Mus musculus: one gene and its partners. The protein of the gene in region 1 purifies or fractionates together with the protein of each later gene. This does not show direct contact. Links are inferred from orthologs where the notes say so. Each region holds a gene or a part of one and is shown in the gene's direction. Other genes may lie near its edges. The genes, in order: Csk, Tns3 and Tns2.

Region 1 (6,285 bases):
ACACTAAGGGGGTAGTGTTTGTGGGTAACAGAAGATGTATTGGTGATAAAGCTGGAGCAAAACATAGCATATTTACTCAGGTATTCCGCCCCCCAAGTCTCCACAGCCTCCCCACCACTCAGCCCCCTTTTATCAGACAGAGTGGAGGTGATGTCAGTCTCTCCCTCCCAGAAGGCTTTGCAGCCCGCTGAAGCCCTTTCCTTCAGGCTGAGCAGCAGCAGCATCCCCAACTGGGGCCATGTTATCATTCCATCTTGACCTCAAAGGAAAGAAAGTGAAGTCTGATACACACACACACACACACACACACTCTCTCTCTCTCTCTCTCTCTCTCTCTCTCTCTCTCACTCTCTCTCTCTCTCTCTCTCTCACACACACACACACACACACACACACACACACACACACACATGCACCATCACTCCAGGCCTGTTATCTTGCTGAATCTGCACCATCTCTCATGAAAGAGGCATGCTCTCAGCCTGATCTCACCAAAGAGGAAACAGCTCAGAGACCTTAGGTAACTAGTTCAAAGCCACACAGCTCTTGAGATTTAACCTTGAGATTCGGTCCCCAAATATCTGTTTCCCCCCCCCCCTCTGTGTCACACCTAACTCTGAGATCTTCTAGGTGCCTCCACCAAAGGTGTCCCTAAAGAACCAGTTCCCTGTAAGCAAACTGGTACTAGGCATGCTGGGTGAGAAGACCAACCTGTCGTCTGGGGTGGGAGTTGAGCATATCCAACTCCTGCTTCTAACATTTTAAGTTATTTGCAATCTGCAACCTTGCTTCTCACAGAGCCCCTTTCTTCCCCTCAGTCAGTACCACTTTACATTGCATTCCAAGTCTTTGCCAGCAGCGTCTCCTCTCCCATCTGAAGATCCCCCTCCCACTCCCTCACCCCCATCCCCTGCTCCTAAACTAGTACCCTCTTTCAGTCCTGGTCCTTAGAAAGTGCTCCTACACCTAGCACCTCCAACGGACTTTCTGGCTTCTCTCTAGCCACTGTGCTTCCATTCTGTGGCCCTCCCATACAGGAGCACTGCTTGCTCCTGTAGCTGAGAGCAAATTGCTCCGGGAGGATCCCGGACTCCTCATTAACAATGGTGCATAATAACAGCCCGTGTTTAATTGAGGACTCACCACGTGCCACTTGCGCACCGAGCACTTCAAACCTATTAACTCATTTCCTCTCCACAAAACCTTACAAAGTTGGTGGTACCGCTCTTGCTCACTTTACCAAACCACAGTGGAAAAGGACAGACAGAGATTAGCTAACTGGTCCGACGTTGTTACACAGCCAGTGACAACTTCCCTATTGCATCTCAGCTGAAAATAAAGCCCGGAAGAGTTCCAAGAAGCTCTGTGGTTCTTTGGCCCTGTAGCTTGCAGGACTGACCGCATCTCTTTCTGCTTTCCCCTACACACGAAGTAAGTCAGGTCTCCCTGCTGTGTTCCCAGATCTAGAAAATCAACCCATGTTCCCTTCTTTCCTGTTTCTTGTGGACCTTGTACCTTTTTTTTTTTTTTCATTGTTTATCAATTTGTTCTTTGTGACAATATTTTTGCAACAACCCCTCATGAGAATTTGGCAGATATAGAGGTTTTAAGAAGTGGACTCCGGCCGGGTAGTGGTGATGCACACTCTTTTTGTTTGTTTGTTTTATGTTTTGTTTTGTTTTTCGAGACAGGGTTTCTCTGTGTAGCCCTGGCTGTCCTGGAACTCACTTTGTAGACCAGGCTGGCCTCAAATTCAGAAATCCACCTGCCTCTGCCTCCTGAGTGCTGGGATTAAAGGCGTGGGCCACCACCGCCCGGAAATGCACTCTTTAATTCTAGCACTTGGGAGGAAGAAGCAGGCAGATCTTTATGAGTTCGAGGCCAGCCTGGTCTACAGAGCAAGTTCCAGAGCTACATAGTGAGACCCTGTCTCAGAAAAACAAAAGATAACAAAAAAACTACAAAGGAGGAGAAGGAAGAAGAGGAAGAGAAGGAAGAAGAGGAGGAGGAGAGAGGAGAAAGGAGGTGGAGGAGAAGGAAGGAGAAGGACGGTGGTAGACTACAGAGCAGGGGCTGTGTAAATGCATGCTTACTGTCCCAGAAGAGTCTAGGCCTAGCCTCCACTATAGAAAGAAAACTTCGCTGGGGGGGGGGGGGGGGGGAAGAGGAGGAGAAGGAGGAGGAGGAAGCAGAGACGGTGGTAGACTACAGAGCAGGGGCCGTGTAAATGCATGCTTACTGTCCCAGAAGAGTCTAGGCCTAACCTCCACTCTAGCAAGGAAGCTTCGCCTAGAGGAAGCTGAGAGGTTGGCTCTAGCATGCTGGTGGCCCTCTGAAAGGACCTTCGGGAGCCTTCGCGAAGGCCAGCAAGTGGGGGCAGGGCGTAGACGCGGACACACCCCCCGCATTTCCTCCAAGGTCCAGCAGAGGGCGCCGACCCACGCCCCGCTGCTCGCCCGGCAGGCCCCCTCGCGCAGGCGCGCCGCAGCGGGCGGAGGATCCGGGCCGCGCTTCCTCTCACCAGGCCTGCGAGCTTCCTCCCATCGGAGCCCGGGCGAGCTGAGGTTGGCCGCCGCCGCTGAGCCTGCTGCCTTCCTTGCGCTTCCGCGCCACCCTGCGCCCTGCCCCGGGGAATCCCACCGGGGTGGGGTCCGAGCAGGGCCAACCCGGGCCGCGCCGCCGTCGGGGCCGTCCCCGGGCCAGCCGTCCCTCCCGCCTGGCCAGCCTCTGGCCGCCCAGCCTCCGGGGTGTGGGGCTTAGGCAAGCCCTGCGAGCGGCGATCGAACGCCCGGGGCGGCCCCCCGGCGGCGGCGCGACGTCCCCAAACCGAACCTCCGTGGCCGCGTTCGGAAGCGGAACTCTGCCGGGGCCGCGCCGGCTACATTGTTTCCTCCCCCCCGGACTCCCTCCCGCCCCCTTCCCCCGCCTTTCTTCCCTCCCCGCCTGGGGCTGCGCGGCAGTCCCCCTGCCTGTCTGGCTCCCCTTCCCTCTCTTTTCGCATCCATACACCTCTTTGTACCGCACCCCCTGGGGACCCCTGTGCCCCTCCCCTCCCCCTTGGCCGCATGGACTGTCCTGCAGGCCACTGATGCCGCCCTCGGTGAGGAGGCCTGGACCGCAGTGCCCCCAGAGAGGTGAGTGCTGGGCAGCCCCAAAGGAGGTGGGTGTCCTAATGCCCCCTAGAAGGGAGGAGGTCGCTCGTCCCGCCTCTGTAGCCACCACCGCCGCGCCCACACCCATCCCCCCAACCCCCCACCTCCCAAACGGGTTCGAATTCTCCCGGGAATCACTGTCAGAACACTACTGGGAATGAGCCACAAGGGAGGTAGTACTACCCAGCACCACGAGAGAATTGGCTTAGGTCTGCAGAGTCCTACCTTCCCACCCCCCAACTCCCGTGAGGAGAGCAGAGTGGGAAGTGGCTGGACCCCGGAGGAAGAGAAGTGGTATGGGCCGGACTCCCGGGCGTTTGCCCTTTCCCGTTCAGGGCTTCCCTGAAGGTATCCTGGCTTGTCTGGTTCTGAACTCTACTTCAGTCGTTGCACAGAGGTTCTATTGGCTCCAAGCAGCCCAGGGCCATGCCACCTCCCTTTGTGCCTGATAGAAGGCCGGGTCCTTGAACTAAGCCTGTCACCCTTGACCTGCCAGAGGATCAGGCTTAAAGCAAGGGACCTCTGACCCTTGGGTGGAGAAACTGGGCAGGGCTTCCAGTCTGCGTAGAGGTGACACTGGGCATTGGTACTGTACCCCGTTCCCCCCACCCCCACCCCCAGCATCCTCATCAGTCTATTTTCCCAGGCTTCTCAGGACCCAGACCAGTTATTTGGAAGGGGTGTGTCCAGTCACTGGATCTTTGGAGCTTAAGTAGGAGTTTTTTTTTTTTTTTTTTGATCATTTTGTATAGCAGGGAACTGAGGCCCAAGGGGCAGGTCATATTCCAGGCTCCTGATGGAGGGAGGCTAGCTGTCTCTCATTCCCACTTCTGCAATGATGGATGGCTGGAGGTGGAGGGGAACCAGACCCACTCTGTAACTACCAGGGACACTGGCAGTCTCCAGCCTGACCCAAGAGGGACCTTGTGGGGTGAGCGAGCACGTGTTCCCTTGCAGAGGGCTAGAGAAGAGGGAAAGGGCTTCCGGCCTCAGTGCTGTCTTCTTACAGGCCGAGATATCGTATGCATTGCTTATAAGACTTCCTCTCAGTGCGTGGGACTGGGTCCTAATCGTGTGGGCCATCTGTGTGGTGTGGTGTGGTTAGGTGTGCAGAAGCCTGGTTCTGGGCAGCTTTGAAACAGCCTGGTAGTTAGTTCTGACCCTGCCTTTCCCACATTTACCAGATGGCTCAGTCAGAACCTGAATGGGGTCAGCGTAGGCAGAGTGGCAGACAACCTTGGACTGAAAGTGTCAGTATGGGGGAATGTTGACACTTGGGGCTTGTTTCTGTCTCCCTGGACCCTAGATGTCGTAGTGTCTCGGTAATGGCCACAGCAGGATCAGGCCAGAGGCACTAAGGTTGGCAGAGCAGCAGGATCTTCTAGACCCCTCAGGATGCTGAGCTCTGCCTAGGCCCCCGTGAGCCACAGGCTGTTTTGTCTTGCTCAGGCCCTTGCCCTTGGTTAAGGTTTTACCCATTGCTCTAAGAAGCACTGGGGTGGGGGTGGGGTATACAGTCACATCGCCTCATGCCGACCCGAACTTCTTCTGTCTAGCCTTAGGGGTTGTGGCTAGGCCTGACATGGCTGGGTGCTTCTTACTAACTTGGCTGCAAGGGTGTGGCCAGAGTCCAGAGATCTTTTAGAAAGCAGCCTCATTTAGGCTAGCACATGTTCGAGGCTCTGAGTTTTGTTTGGTGAACTAATTTTCCCCGATCAGCAAGGGCTGGTCTTTCTGTAAAAGACCAGGAAAGCAGGTGCCTTCCTCACTACAAGGCACTGCTCTTCAGAGGGCAGTCCTCATGGGGAGGCCCACAGCAAGTGTTGATAGAGAGCAGAGTCCAGCTTCCTTCACGCTAGTAGAGGTAGGGATGGAAGCCAGAGGCCCATAGTGTGACTCAACCTCCCCCATAATCCTTCTGGATCCCACTGGAATGGTAGGACCACCCAGGTCCATCTTTTGAAGAATGTCAAAGCCTTGACATGTAGCCCTCAAAGCACAGATGTTGAGTGTGGGAAAGAAGGCAGAGAGATGTCTGAGAGAGTGTCCCAGACGGGCATGGATGCTCTGTAGCAGAAAAGTCCTGAGTAGCTGGGCCAGAGCTGAGGGGCAGGCAGGACCTGGGAAAGTTAGTCTGACTTCACATGAAAACTCTATGCTTGTTGATTTTATTCTTTACAAAGCAGTGAGGGCCGCGTGGGCTGGCATGCACCTGTAATCCCAGCGCTAGGGAGACCGAGGCAGGAGGGATTCCAAGTTCAAGGCTAGCATGGGCTCCAGACTGAGATCCCATCTTTAAAAGAGAAGAAAGGAAGAAAACAAACCCCAGAAATTTTAGAAAATAAAACAAGAGGGCCCAGTAATTGCCAGGCAGGGACTCGGCACACTAGAGCCCTGTTTTCCTGGTTTCCTTCCCTTGCTGTTGTTAGCATGTAAATGTGCAAGCCTCGACTCTTTTCCCACTTACTACTGTGTCTCTGGGTGTTTCTTGAGCTACCTGTCATGGTAACCGCCTCGAAGGAGCTTCAGGGTATTTCCAGGAGCCCTGCTACTGCTTCGTCACCAAACCCTCTCCCGCGTGTGCCGTGCTTCCATCTGTCAGTGGTGGGGGCTGTTACTACACACCCTACAAGCAGCTAGGAGAGAGCAGGCAGTTTAGCAGCTAAGTATGTGGGTCCCAGGCCCAGCCACACCACGGTTCCCTGAGCATAGCTAACAGGAACAGTGAGCTGTATACCTCAGAAGACACTGAACTAACTAACCTACTAAAAGACTGGAGAGAGCATGGGACCGTGGCTGGTGTGGCTGCCTTAGAATTCGAGAAACATCCCTGAGCCTCGGACCCTAGAATGACTGCCCTCTCACCTATCTTTGGTAAGGTGTCCCAAGCACTCTGAAAACCTCTGGCCCTGTATTCTAGGCTGCTGTGTCTGTCTATGCTGTGCCCCACTCCCTTCCCATCACTAAGTGATAGGCTGCCTCAGGGCATGGGACTGGCCTTGAGAAGATAGGATGCTAATTGCTGTCCAAGGCCTAACCCCACCCATTCCCCTTCACAGCCTTGGAGTTGAGAATGGCTACCTACCACTGTTGCTTCCCAAAACACACACACACACACATACACACACCGGTT
Region 2 (5,809 bases), on another chromosome or scaffold:
GTTCTGAGGCAGTCAGGGCTGTTACACAGAGAGACCCTGTCTTGAAAATCCAGCCAACCAACCAGTCAGCCAGTAAGCAAACAAACATAAATAAAGCAAACAAATTATTGAAGAATTAAAAGTTAAAAAAATAATAAAGGGGATTTTCTAAGGACTTGACATCACATGTAGAATCTATAGCTAGTGTGTCAATTTAAATACATATATGTTGTAAGAACTGTATTTTTAATGGGTTTTCTAGGTTCCTGAATGTGGTAATTCCCAGTCAAGTTGTCCCCCGGTCTGTAGGAGATAGGGTCATTAGTTGATGCCTACGATCCTAGACAGGAACAAACCCTATATATAATGTTTTCCCCTATGATAACTCTGACCATTTATTATTCAAAGGAAATAAATACATTACAGATTCCATAGCCAGTCAGCCAGTGTCCCTGTCCCCATACTTGCTCTTTGGGGAACTTGTTGTTAGATTTATATCTTTATTTGTTTTTATTGTATGAATGTTTTGCCTGTCTGTAGTCTGTTTGCCACATGTAAGCCTGGTCCTTGTGGAGGCCAGGAGAGGGCAGCAGTTCTTCTAGAAGGTGGTTGTAAGTCACTGGGTGGATACTGGGAGTCAAACCCCGCTGCTCTGCAGAGTGTTCAGTGCTTAACCACTAAGCCATCTCACCAGCCCCTTTGGGACCGTTTCTAAGTAACCGGAGAGTTACATACCATGTCGGCCAGTCATCTAGAGGCAGACAGCATATACCACATGGATACGCTGAATAAGGAGTGATGCATATCCTGGCCATGAGTAGGACAGCACACTGCTCATCATCCCACTCACAGTAACATTTAAGACTTAGCAGTTGTTTATTTCTACAGTGTTCTACTGAATAGTTTTAGACTGAGGTCAACCTGGGTCACTGAAACACATGCAAGGGATGGGGGGATACTGCGCTTCTATGCTGTCCTGCAGCAAGCCCCAGTACCTACTTCCCCAATCCTGTCTCATCTGTATCTTGTAACAGTTGCTGGGTTTGAGGCATCTGTATGTCCCTTACATTTCCCTATGGCTATTTTTGCCTTTCGAACAGCCCGCCTTCTGCAGAACGCCAGTGGGTAGAGAGCAGCCCGAAGTCCACCCTCACCCTACTGGGGAACAGCCACCCTTCTGAAAGTCCCCTCGGCACTCATGAGTTCTGTAGCTCTGGTAAGGACTCACCAGGGCTGCCCTGCTTCCAGTCCTCAGAGCTCCAGGCCTCTTTCCACAGCCATGAGCTGTCCATGTCAGAGCCTCAGGGTGCTTTGCCTCCTGCGGGCAGCCAAACCTTCTTAGGTTTCAACACAGTAACCACAGCAACAAGTGTTCTTCCACCTGGTGAGGACGCTGGCACCTTGCTGGTCAATTCCCATGGAACATCACCAGCTCCTGGAACCCCTCTGCTGACGACAGGGGCTGCTGACAACGGCTTTCTGCCCCACAACTTTCTCACGGTGTCACCCGGAGCCAGCAGCCACCACAGTCCAGGCCTGCAGAACCAGAACGTGAGCCTGCCTGGGCAGCCACCCCTCCCGGAGAAGAAGAGAGCGTCGGAGGGTGATCGTTCTTTGGGCTCAGTCTCCCCATCATCCAGTGGCTTCTCCAGCCCCCACAGTGGCAGCACCATGAGCATCCCCTTCCCGAATGTCCTTCCAGACTTCTGCAAGCCTTCAGAAGTGGCCTCACCTTTGCCAGGTATGTCTGCATCTGCCACTCCCTCAGGAGAGGAGGGCTCTGGGGCTTCCCGTGTGAGCCAGTCTTCAGTGCTAAGTCAGATGTCCTGCAGGAAATGGTCAGATCCTCTCTTGGCTCTCTCCCACCCAGTTTGCCTAAAGCCAGATAGACCCAGTTTTTCCGGTCAGCTTCCTCCTTAATCTCCTGCAGACTCAGACCAGCGTTAGACAGTGCAGATGCTGCAGTAGTTCTGTATTCACTTTGACTAAAAGGATAGAGATGCTTTAAAGTTTCTTTCTCTCTTCCCAATTACATAATTCATCCAGAATTGAGTTATAAGCTGTTTCAAGTGTTTGACACAGCCTCGCTGCCCTGTCCTCCTGTCCCGTATTGGAAGCACGTTTGTCTTGTACTGTACTCCGCGGTACTGGCTCTTCCTTCCAGTTGGTCCTTTGAACCACGTCTCCTCCCCACTTAGGACCTTTCTGTGCATCCCTCAAACCCAGGCATGGATTTGGACTCGCATCACCATTGTAAAAGAGGCAGCAATATAGATATTCTGTATTACTCTCAATGCTGAATAGAGAAATGTCCCATTTCCTACTCCTGTGAATGCTGCTATCAGTTCCCTATTGTAATTAAACCCAATTGAGATGTATTAATTTGTAAAAAACTAAACAAAAAACCCAAATATTCTGTATTAAAATTCTGCTTCACAGATAGCCCAAATGATAAACTCGTGATTGTGAAATTTGTTCAAGACACTTCGAAGTTCTGGTACAAGGCAGACATCTCAAGAGAACAAGGTAGGCGGGGTTAAGGGACCTCTTACAATGTTGGTCGTATTTGGTCTCTGGGTCCTTCTGTCAGGGATCTCCTTGTATTAGCTGTGGCGCAGATAAATACACCTTTTTCATAGGACTCTGGAGAACATTCTACAACCTTCACAGTCTTACAGGGAAAACTCAGTCCCCCTGAGGGTTTGGGCCAGAAGTGGTTTCAAGCCACAAGCATCCATCCCAGCGTGTGGCCTGTGAACACTGGCAGTTTCACTAGCCTGGCAGCCCACCACTGCTTTGAGGATGAGACACTGCTCAGGTCTCTACTAAGGACTCCTTGAGGTCCTAGGTTCCAGAGTACTGCAGAAAGAGGCCATGGAGAGCTAATGCTCTAGGAGAATCTCAGGCTTGGTGGCTGCAGACATGAAAGGGCATGGAGTGTTTGGAGCTCTCCCCATTAGGAGCTTCCTGTAGCCTGCATGAATCTACCCCACATTGGCCACCTGGTTGAAGTCCCTAAGGAGCTCATGGGGCCGTTCATTCATAGCATCATCTCTCAGAAAGGCTAGTTTTCTCCCTGAGGTTCTGCCATTAGATTTTAAAGCTAACAGGAACTGTGAGACTCTAGTTCTTCCCAGGAGCTCAAGGAAGCTGTTGTCATTTTAAATGGAAGAGAAGCATGGGTGGGGTGAGGTGGGGGATGAACACAACCACGGCCTGAAAAGCCTTTCATTTCCCTCAGGCACCTTTGTGAAAGCTGCTTAGTGAGTCCAAGCCTCCCCCAAAACACACAGAGCAACCTTATGTGGCCAGTGTCCCGAATTCTTCTGTCTCTGGTCTCCCTGCTTAGCTGCACAGGTGAAAAGATGGCATTTTCCTTACTCCACGTTCATCTGCCAAGCAGGGTCCCAACTGGCCCAGGCTGTAGGAGCAGCTGGGAGAAGGGGCTGCTCTGGATGTATAGAGAAAAGGAGTCCTGGGCGTGGGACGCTCCCCACGCATATCAGCACCAGTTTCTTACTGCTGAAAAGAGATGGGGAAGTGCCCATGTGCAGAAGAGAGAGGATGTCGGTGCTTTGTAACAGTCTGCTTTCAGGCAGCCGAGCCATCCCTGGAACCATTGCCAATCAAGAGAACGTTACTCTTCAATTGTCATTGATGCATTGAGCGTCAGCTCAGCCTTGAGTGTGATTTTTCAGAGGTGGAGCCATCCCAGGCTCTGGGTGGGCAGTGACCTTTGTCCCCTGCAGTCATCCATGCCTTTCCTTCCCCTAGCCATTGCCATGCTGAAGGACAAAGCCCCCGGGTCATTCATCGTGAGGGACAGTCACTCCTTCCGAGGGGCCTACGGCCTGGCCATGAAGGTGGCCACACCTCCTCCGTCTGTCCTGCACCTCAACAAGAAAGGTAAGCGTCCATAGACGGGGGTTGTCTGTTGTTTACAGTGGCTGATATCGGCAACTGTTCCCACTGCTTCTCTTTATTTAGTGTTTGCTTTCTAAGGTTACTTCCTTAAGTAGCTGTCCATCCATGTATACCTTTTATCTTCATTTTTTTTAACCCGTCTTTTCCATACTTTTAAACTTGCAATGTGAACACTAATATAGTACATAGAATATGTACTATCTTATGAATCAAAAATTTTAAGACTCACTGAACACCTCAGGTCACGAGGAGTGTGCAGTAGTCGCCCTGTGCAGGATGCCCTTCGTATTTATCTTATCAGGAGATAATGTTCACTGTGGGTCATGGTTTTAAGAGGTTCAGCTCATTTGGTTGGCTCTGGTACCAGGCCTGTGATAGAGAAATCATCATAGGCTGCTTGTGCATGAGGGAGTATGTGTTCTCCCTCTGCCTGCAACGTGAAGGGGAGAGGCTGGGGAGAGAGCGAGGTTTCGTCACCCTCCTAAGGGCATGCACTAAGTGACCCTACTCCAGCCCTCCTTACATCCTCACTGATCACCAGAGCATCTCTCTGGGAGCTGAGCCTCTGCCGCATGGATCAGTGAGAGACGTTGCCTTAGCTAGAGAGAGGAATCCGAATCAGCATGGCTGTGGTACCTGTCTGTCCCATCCCATGCCTGGGTCTGAGATGAGCCATCCTAACTCTTGTGTGAAATCTGTCTGAAAGCTTCCTGGAGCAAACATGGTACACGGTGTACTGAGGTTGTAAGATGTGGTTGCAAGTGGGCCAGCCTCAGGCACAGGTGGCTGACCTGCTTCAGGAATGTGCTTGCCTTGCAAGGCTAGGAAGTGTGGTTGGGAGGCACCTGGGACTCAGGCAGAGCACAGCTCCCAAACCTGGGGGTGCTGACAGGGCTTCTGTGAGGGAGTGGGAGAGTAAGTGACATCACATAGAACGTCTAGGATTCCCGCCTAAGAAGCTCAACAGAACCTTACTGCGGGGACGTATGGCCTTTATCATGAAGCACTCACTCAGACCTGGCTGCTGAGGACTACCAGGTCTGACTTAGGAACATCAGTTAGTGACATATCAGGAAAAGACTTCTAATGTCTGGGAATGTATCCTTCCTTGGGCAGCCTTCAGACTAAGTCTGAGAATAAACGAACAAAATAGAGGCTATGTGAATAGCAGATGTCAGAAAACCCAGCATGGTGGTCTCCACTGGCTGAAATACAGTCTCGACTCTGTGTGTATACCTAGGCCTGGGTTTGACATTTGTATTTCCCAGTCCAACGATAGATTTGAGCGAAGAGTTTACCAAATGAGTGAAGAGCCAGTTAGTCACTGAGCCACCTCCAGTCAATTTGAGATGAGACAGCTGTGGTCATTCTAGACTCTGTGTTCCAAAACACCCTTGGCAGCAGGATCTTCACGGGGCCATTTTCCACAAGTAGAATCCAGACCTTCAGTGGGTTTTCTCATTAGGCTGGAAGCCCCACACCTTCTCTTCCCACAGAGGAAGTGTCATATTTTGTTCCCTCTGTTTTATGTGTCAGACTTTCATGGAATCCCTGCAGGTTTGACTGCCCCTAGGAAATGCTAACATGTACTGCCGCTAATGTGTGGTGTTGATCAGCATCATTGGAGCCTAATGCAGCTCAGGATCTCTCATCATAAATGGCCCCAAACAGATATGGCGACGGTTTCTGATTATTTTCAGATTTCAAAATATTTGTACACTAATAATGAGGTATCTTGGGAATGAGGCTTAAGTCTTTTTTAAAAATTATTTCTTTATTATTTTATTTGTGTGATATTTTTCCTTGTATATCTGACTGCATAAATTTGTACATGTCTAGTATGCATGGAGGCCTGAAGAGGGTGTCAGATACCCTGAAAATGGAGTTACAGACAGTTGTGAGCTGT
Region 3 (6,254 bases), on another chromosome or scaffold:
TCTGCAGACTCTCGGCCTGAGGCTTCCCGGGGCTGTCCTCCCACGTGCGATCCCACTCGGGCTCTGGCTGCCGCTCCGTCTGCGAGTCTCAGCCGGAGCCTGCCTCGGCGCGCACGGAGGACAGTGGGAGGAGAAGAGGGAGAAAGGAGGAGGCGCGGGCGGGGAGCGGGTGGAAGGTGGCGATTGGAGCCCAGGAAGAAGGAGGGAGCCGGAGGGCGGGAGGAGGCAGCCGGCGCAGGGCGCGGCGGGAGGGAGCCAGCTGAGCGCCCGTCCCGCCGCCGCTGCCGCCGCCGCCGCCTCCGCGTATCGCGGCGCGGCTAGGCGGGATGGGCTGGTCCGGGGGCGCCCCCTGCTGCTGCCCCAGTTCGCCGCGCCCCCGGCCCTCTGGGCGCCCCCCACAGGTGAGTGGCTGCGCCACGCTGGACGGGAGCGCGGGCGAGCGTCGGCCCTCTGCGTCACAGCGCGCGGTCCGAGCCAGGGACGGGCACCAGGGGGCGCGGAGCCACTGGGGGTCCGGGAGCATTGGGCGCGGCCCGTGCCCTCCCCTCCGGGTCTCGGTGAGCTAGGGGACAGTTGAAGATACTAGAGGTGACCAGGGGGCGGGGCGCGGCTGTGGACCTAGCTCAGGCCGCCACGCCTTCCTGCGTCCCACTGTGCACTACTGTTGGCTCAGGCCACTCTCTGCGTACCTCTCTAGCTCGAGCCACAAGCGCACTTTGAACACAAGATGCCCGCGGCAGCTGGCATCAATGTTGCGGCCCTGGCCTGGCAGAGTGCATGCAAACTTTTTCCTCTCTGTTTTCTCTATCTGAGACACTGAGGCAGAATGCAGACACAGATGAAGCTGATTTCTCCTTTTAACCCTTTTCTACTTCTGCCCTACCTAGATACCCCCTAGGTCCCTCTAGACACACCCTTGAATCCTACCTCCCTTCCCCTCCCTCCTTTACTGGGCCTCACTCCTCTGTGGCCCGGCTCCGGGCCTCTCATCCAACCACAGCTATTTCCAGGAAGGAGGGGTGTGTGGGTGGGTGGAGGGGTTTCTCCAAACAAACCCAAGGCTTCAGAGTGAGAGGGGGCCCGGCTGGGGAGAATCAAAAGAGCTCTGGAATATTCCAGGCAGGAGGTGGGAGGTGAGGATCTGGTAATGCTGCCATTCCTCAGGCACTGTTTGCCCTCAGCTACTTTCAGAAATACTCCACACTCCCTGCGGTGGGGACGCGCAGAGCCAACTAGACACTTAACTTTCTAGATCTAGGTGGGCAGTGTAAGTTCAGTGAGGGCAGAGGCTGTTTGGGAACCTGTTCCAGAGGAAAAGACTTTCAGTCCCACCAGAGGTTGCAGATGTAGGCCCATGTACCATAGGAGCAGAGGGGAAAAAAAATTGATCAGGGGAGGCGCTGCAGTGATCCATCTTCCCCAGCAGGGCTGGGTGCGGAATCAGGACAGCCCCGGTTGCCCACCTGGCCATCGGCCTGGAATGTCCTGGGACACAGCCAGAACTCAGGTGGGGATTGCAGAGCCAGGGGCCCTCTCCAGTTACAGCACGGTGCCCCACCCCTTGCCACTCACAGGGCCTTCTAGCCAGGGTACACTGGCAACGATGGGCTTCCTAGAGAACAGGCATGCAGCGGGAAGAGGCCTCAGACTCTTCAGTCTGACAGGTCTTCTGAAGGATCCCTGGGGAGGACTAGAGCAGCCCTTCATCTGTCAGATGGGCGTGAGGCAGAAAGAGGAGAGTCCTGTGGGACCCTGCAAGAGGTGCCAGAACTGGAGGAGTTGCACTGGGACATTCAGTAAATACCATGCAAATGAGGGTGACACGGTGTACATTCTTTCAAATGACAGCTAGCTACAGCATTCCAAAGGCTGCTGTCTAGAGCTTGGGCTGGGAACCCCCAGGCTGTTGACCCTTGTTGTAGGAAGGTTGTTCCATCCTTTCCAAGGGCCCCATACACCTCCTTCCCTTGACTCCTGGGACAGGAAGTTGGCCCTATTCCCAGGAGGGAAGCAGGAGGCCCTAGAGAGGGTGGAGTATGTGTTGGGAGGGGGCCTCCTGTCCAGTCCTCGGGTCCAGTGACAGCCACAGAGGAAGGAGAGACAGGCCAGAAGAGCCATGAAGGTAGCGCTCAGATTCTGGTGGGCGGGTGGGGTCCCCAGTAGAACCTCAGGTGCAGGATCTGGGAGCTAAGCCAGGAACTGTGGGTTGTATCTGGAGAGGAGCAGCTGGGGTGTTCAGGAGGAACCTCCAGTGCTTTGGGTTACAGCAAGATGGACCATTCCTGTAAGCCCTTAGCCCTTCCCGCTGGAACTTGGCGTTGAGGAGGGTACTATAAGATCCTTCTCCCGTCTGACAGGGAAGTTAGCCCTCATCCCTAACTTTCTTTCACCCTGAGGATGTGGAGTGCTGGGCTGTCAGGGGTACTGGTTCCCAGCAACACTCCCTTCCCACAGGAAATCCCAAGGGAGCATGAGGGTTCAGGCTAGAGACTGGCCGGGGACACAGTGTTCTCCACTGGCCCTTGAGCCCTGCCCTGAGACCTGAATTCCCACCCTGTGCCACTGGCTGATTCCAGGGCTGGATCTCAGGACTGCAGACCCCCTGCACACAGTGGCCCACTGGGTGGGAGGCAGCTCCAGAGATGGGGAGAGCCAGAGATCTTAGGCTGACACTCCCAGCAGGGTAGATCCTGGGAATCTGATCTCCTGGCCTCCCCCACATCCTCCCCCACCCCACTTCCTGGAGCAGCGACCTGCCCCCTTCCCGCCTGCACTTCCCTCCACTTCCAGGGCCAGGCTTCTCCACACACCAGCCAGACAGCCTCCCCTCCACCCAAGGGAAGCGGCTGCCTCGGCAGGCTGCTTCCAGGAAGCCCCAGGCCAGGCCCCAGCATTGTTCAGGCCCTGCAGCCAAGAGTCCAGCCAGCCAGACACCATGAAGTCCAGCGGCCCTGTGGAAAGGTTGCTCAGAGCCCTGGGGAGGAGGGACAGCAGCCGGGCCACCAGCAGGGTAGGAGTGCCCACCAGCTGGGCAAAGGTGGGGCAGGGTGGAGGTGCGGACAAGGCGGGAGGGCCAGGATTCAGGCCAGACCAGACCCTCTTCCTAGTTTCAGCCTCTTCTCCTGGCTGGCTCAGCATCCCCCTCCTCTTTCTTTCGCCTGACCCCCTGAGGTGGCTAGGGTAGGGTAGCAGTGTGATTCTAGCATCTGTTTTGACTTCTCTGTGTATTTCCTGGCTTGAGCCTGGATAGGCCCCGAGGGTTCAGCTAAGAGCTCAAGCCCTGACCTCCGGGGGAAGCTTGAGGGAAAAGGTATGGGAAGAAGGCAATGAGGGAAGGGAGGGTGCCTTCTACTGACGTCATCTGCACACGACGTCATCATCCACAAGTGCGTCCAAGTGTCCTGGTGGGTCTCGCCCCCAGTCGTTAAGGGACCAACGCTGCTCCCATGTTATTCTCCTCTTCACACTACGGTGGGCAGATCCAGGGAGAGGAGGGGACAGCGGGAGCTTGAACACACAGCGGTGAAGAATGTGCAGTGGAGTGGTGGGAGGAGTGAGGGAGATTGTCCACAGACTCTAGATAGGAGGGATGAACTGGGGTGGGAGGGGTCAGAACTGCAGTGAAAACTTGCAGTGAGTAGGGACTAAGGGGGACCTGGACAACTGGTGGCAGCCCAGCCAGCCACTGACCTCACTACCTCTGGGTGGGGAGGGGGCATCCGGAGAACCTGGCCACCCCTGTCATAACATGCAGAGGCAGCGAGGCAGCTGCCTGTGTGTCCCCACTGCTATTCCTCCTTCCGAGCGAACGTCTTAGACAATTGCTGCCTGCCGCCTCAGTGCACAGAGAGTAAACATGTTGTTCTGACCGTGGGGGAGGGGGTCATATTAGCTGCCTGGAGCTTGGGGACACTGAGAGCCAGGGGCTCAGAACTGGCTGCAGTCAGTCTGGGTATTATGTGATAGTGCTTGTGTGTCCTGGCCGTCAGCTCACAGTATACAAGCCTCTTGTGGGGAGGGCAAGATGGGAGGAGAGTCAGACCCCCCACTCTGCCAAGATTCAGAAAGCCCTCACATTGGAAGTGGGGGTGTGTGTGACAAGGACATCACATAGCTCCGCCACGTGAGAAGTCCTGAGTGAACCCTTAGGGAGGAGTTGACCCAGCCAAGGTGACGCAAGGGGTCACATTCCAAGCCCTGTAGAGGACAGGCCTCATGACTACCCTGAAACAGCTGTGGCCAAGTGTGCCTTAGAGTTCACAGACTTTTGGCTGGAAGAGAGGGAAGCAGCATCGCTCTAAGGAAAGGTCCCTGCCCAGCCTTGGAGATGAGCCCACTAGGAACACATACCCCTATTTGTCTGTCATCCCACCCGCAGCCGAGGAAAGCAGAACCACACAGCTTCCGGGAGAAGGTTTTCCGGAAGAAAACTCCAGTGTGTGCAGTGTGTAAGGTGACCATCGATGGGACCGGTGTCTCCTGCCGAGGTGAGGTGGTGCTCTTGGTGCCTGAGCCCTCCAGGCAGCACTTCTGTGTGGCTCAGGCTCTAGAGACAGGCAAATTCAGAAACAAATGCCCTCACTCTTCTTGACACCCACCTTGCCACAGCCCAGGAGATTTGTGACTCTACCACCTTCCCATCCTTACCTGTGACTAGGGTCTTCCCTTCCTCTTGCTCCTCCTCCTCTTCTTCTTCCTCCTCCTCTTTTTCTTCTTCCTCCTCTTCTTTTTCCTCCTTTTTCCTTTTCCTCCTCCTTTTCCTCTTCTTCCTCTTCCTCTTCCTTCTCTTTTTCCTCTTCTTCCTCCTCTTTTTCCTCTTCTTCCTCCTCCTCTTTTTCCTCTTCTGCCTCCTCCTCTTTTTCCTCTTCCTCCCCTTTCTCTTCCTCCTCATCTTCCTGTTCCTCTTCTTCTTCCTCATCCTTTTCTTCTTCCTCCTCTTCTTCCTCCTACTGTTCTTCCTCCTCTTCCTCTTTCCCCTCCTCACCTCTATTCATCCTAGACCCCAACCCCCGGCCCTCTTCCCTTACTCCAGAGCAGAACCTGTTGATAACCAGCTCTGTTCTTCAACTCCTAGTAACCTAGTGTACCAGGGTCCCAGAGCTGGCTTCTAAGGCCTGTGGGGCTGGAGCACAGTTATTTTGACTATTCCCGTAAGCCTCTGCTAACCTCTACCCTTTCTCTCTCTAGTCTGCAAGGTGGCCACACACAGAAAATGTGAAGCAAAGGTGAGTATGTGGTTCTATCTAATGGGGAGATGGTGTCTTTCCCTGTCCAGACAGGCATCTTCAGCCTCACTGGCATGGGCCACCATGTCACCCTGTCCCCTGTCACTCACTCCTGGACACCCCTTCCTGGGTGGCAGGGGTGTTGTGTTGGGCTCTTTAAGAAACACCCTACTCCACCCCTGGAGGGTTGGCCCAGGAGGGTGGACAGTGAGACAGCGTTTGTCTTGGTGCTGTGCCCAGGCTGCAGCTGGCGAGAGGATGAGGGGGGGTGGCTGCGGGGGGAGGAAGGGCGGGGTGGATAGAGAGGGAGCAAGATTTCAGAGACCAGGCACCCTGATGGGAGGTGCCTTCCCTCTGAGGAAAGGGTCCTCAGGATGCCTGCGTTGGTCTCATCCTGGGTAGTGAAAGCTGAGCCTGTTCAGGTATAATACCCTGTAGCTGGTACCCGCTGTCCACTGAGAACCTAAGGTAGCCCTGCATCTCTGAGGAACGTTCCTGGTGCTCCATCAGTGCAGGGGGTAGTCCCAGGGCCTCAAGCTAGCTTGGGGGAGCTCTGTGCCCATGGGTGGGGTCTCAACGGTGAAAGAGGCTAGTGTCCACCCCTGGCCATTGCCTGGCTGGCTGGCTCTATATATAACTCCTGTCCTGCCGCTGGATGAATGGGGGTCTGTGTGGGCAGGGGGCTGAGAGCCAAGAGCAACAAGCAGGGGGCCCAAGGGGTGGGAGACCGAGAGGCAGAAGCAAGGCTCCCTTAAATAGAGGAACCTCAGCTAGAGGTTGTTCATCAGGTGACAGCCCCTGCACCTTCCTACTGAGGCCTGGCACCCCATTTCACCAGCACAGCCTTTAACTCCCACCTCTTTCCAGGTGACTTCATCCTGTCAGGCCTTGCCCCCTGCGGAGCTGGTGAGTGTGTTCTAGGATGGGGCAGGGAAGGCAAGGAACCTGACTAGTATCCCCGGGGTCTGGTGGTCTCAGAGTGGGTCTCCAGGAGGTTATGTAGAAATGAGTGCTGTGGTTATTGGTCAG

What was found.
Region 2: the proteins of Csk (region 1) and Tns3 purify together in Homo sapiens (affinity purification with mass spectrometry; 4 studies listed by BioGRID and IntAct, with this or other methods). This does not show direct contact. The link is inferred for Mus musculus from reciprocal best matches to the Homo sapiens genes CSK and TNS3.
Region 3: the proteins of Csk (region 1) and Tns2 purify together in Homo sapiens (affinity purification with mass spectrometry; 6 studies listed by BioGRID and IntAct, with this or other methods). This does not show direct contact. The link is inferred for Mus musculus from reciprocal best matches to the Homo sapiens genes CSK and TNS2.

The regions. Positions count from the first base shown.
Region 1 is NC_000075.6:57,641,844-57,648,128, reverse strand, and holds the start of Csk (tyrosine-protein kinase CSK), read left to right. Parts: upstream 1-2,475; 5' UTR 2,476-3,134; intron 3,135-4,059; exon of another isoform or gene 4,060-4,083; intron 4,084-6,285. UniProt on the Homo sapiens protein: Non-receptor tyrosine-protein kinase that plays an important role in the regulation of cell growth, differentiation, migration and immune response.
Region 2 is NC_000077.6:8,446,766-8,452,574, reverse strand, and holds part of Tns3 (tensin-3), read left to right. Parts: intron 1-1,079; coding exon 1,080-1,720; intron 1,721-2,418; coding exon 2,419-2,505; intron 2,506-3,753; coding exon 3,754-3,885; intron 3,886-5,809. UniProt on the Homo sapiens protein: May act as a protein phosphatase and/or a lipid phosphatase. Involved in the dissociation of the integrin-tensin-actin complex. EGF activates TNS4 and down-regulates TNS3 which results in capping the tail of ITGB1.
Region 3 is NC_000081.6:102,100,152-102,106,405, forward strand, and holds the start of Tns2 (tensin-2), read left to right. Parts: upstream 1-2,782; 5' UTR 2,783-2,935; coding exon 2,936-3,010; intron 3,011-4,378; coding exon 4,379-4,487; intron 4,488-5,187; coding exon 5,188-5,225; intron 5,226-6,092; coding exon 6,093-6,131; intron 6,132-6,254. UniProt on the Homo sapiens protein: Tyrosine-protein phosphatase which regulates cell motility, proliferation and muscle-response to insulin. Phosphatase activity is mediated by binding to phosphatidylinositol-3,4,5-triphosphate (PtdIns(3,4,5)P3) via the SH2 domain.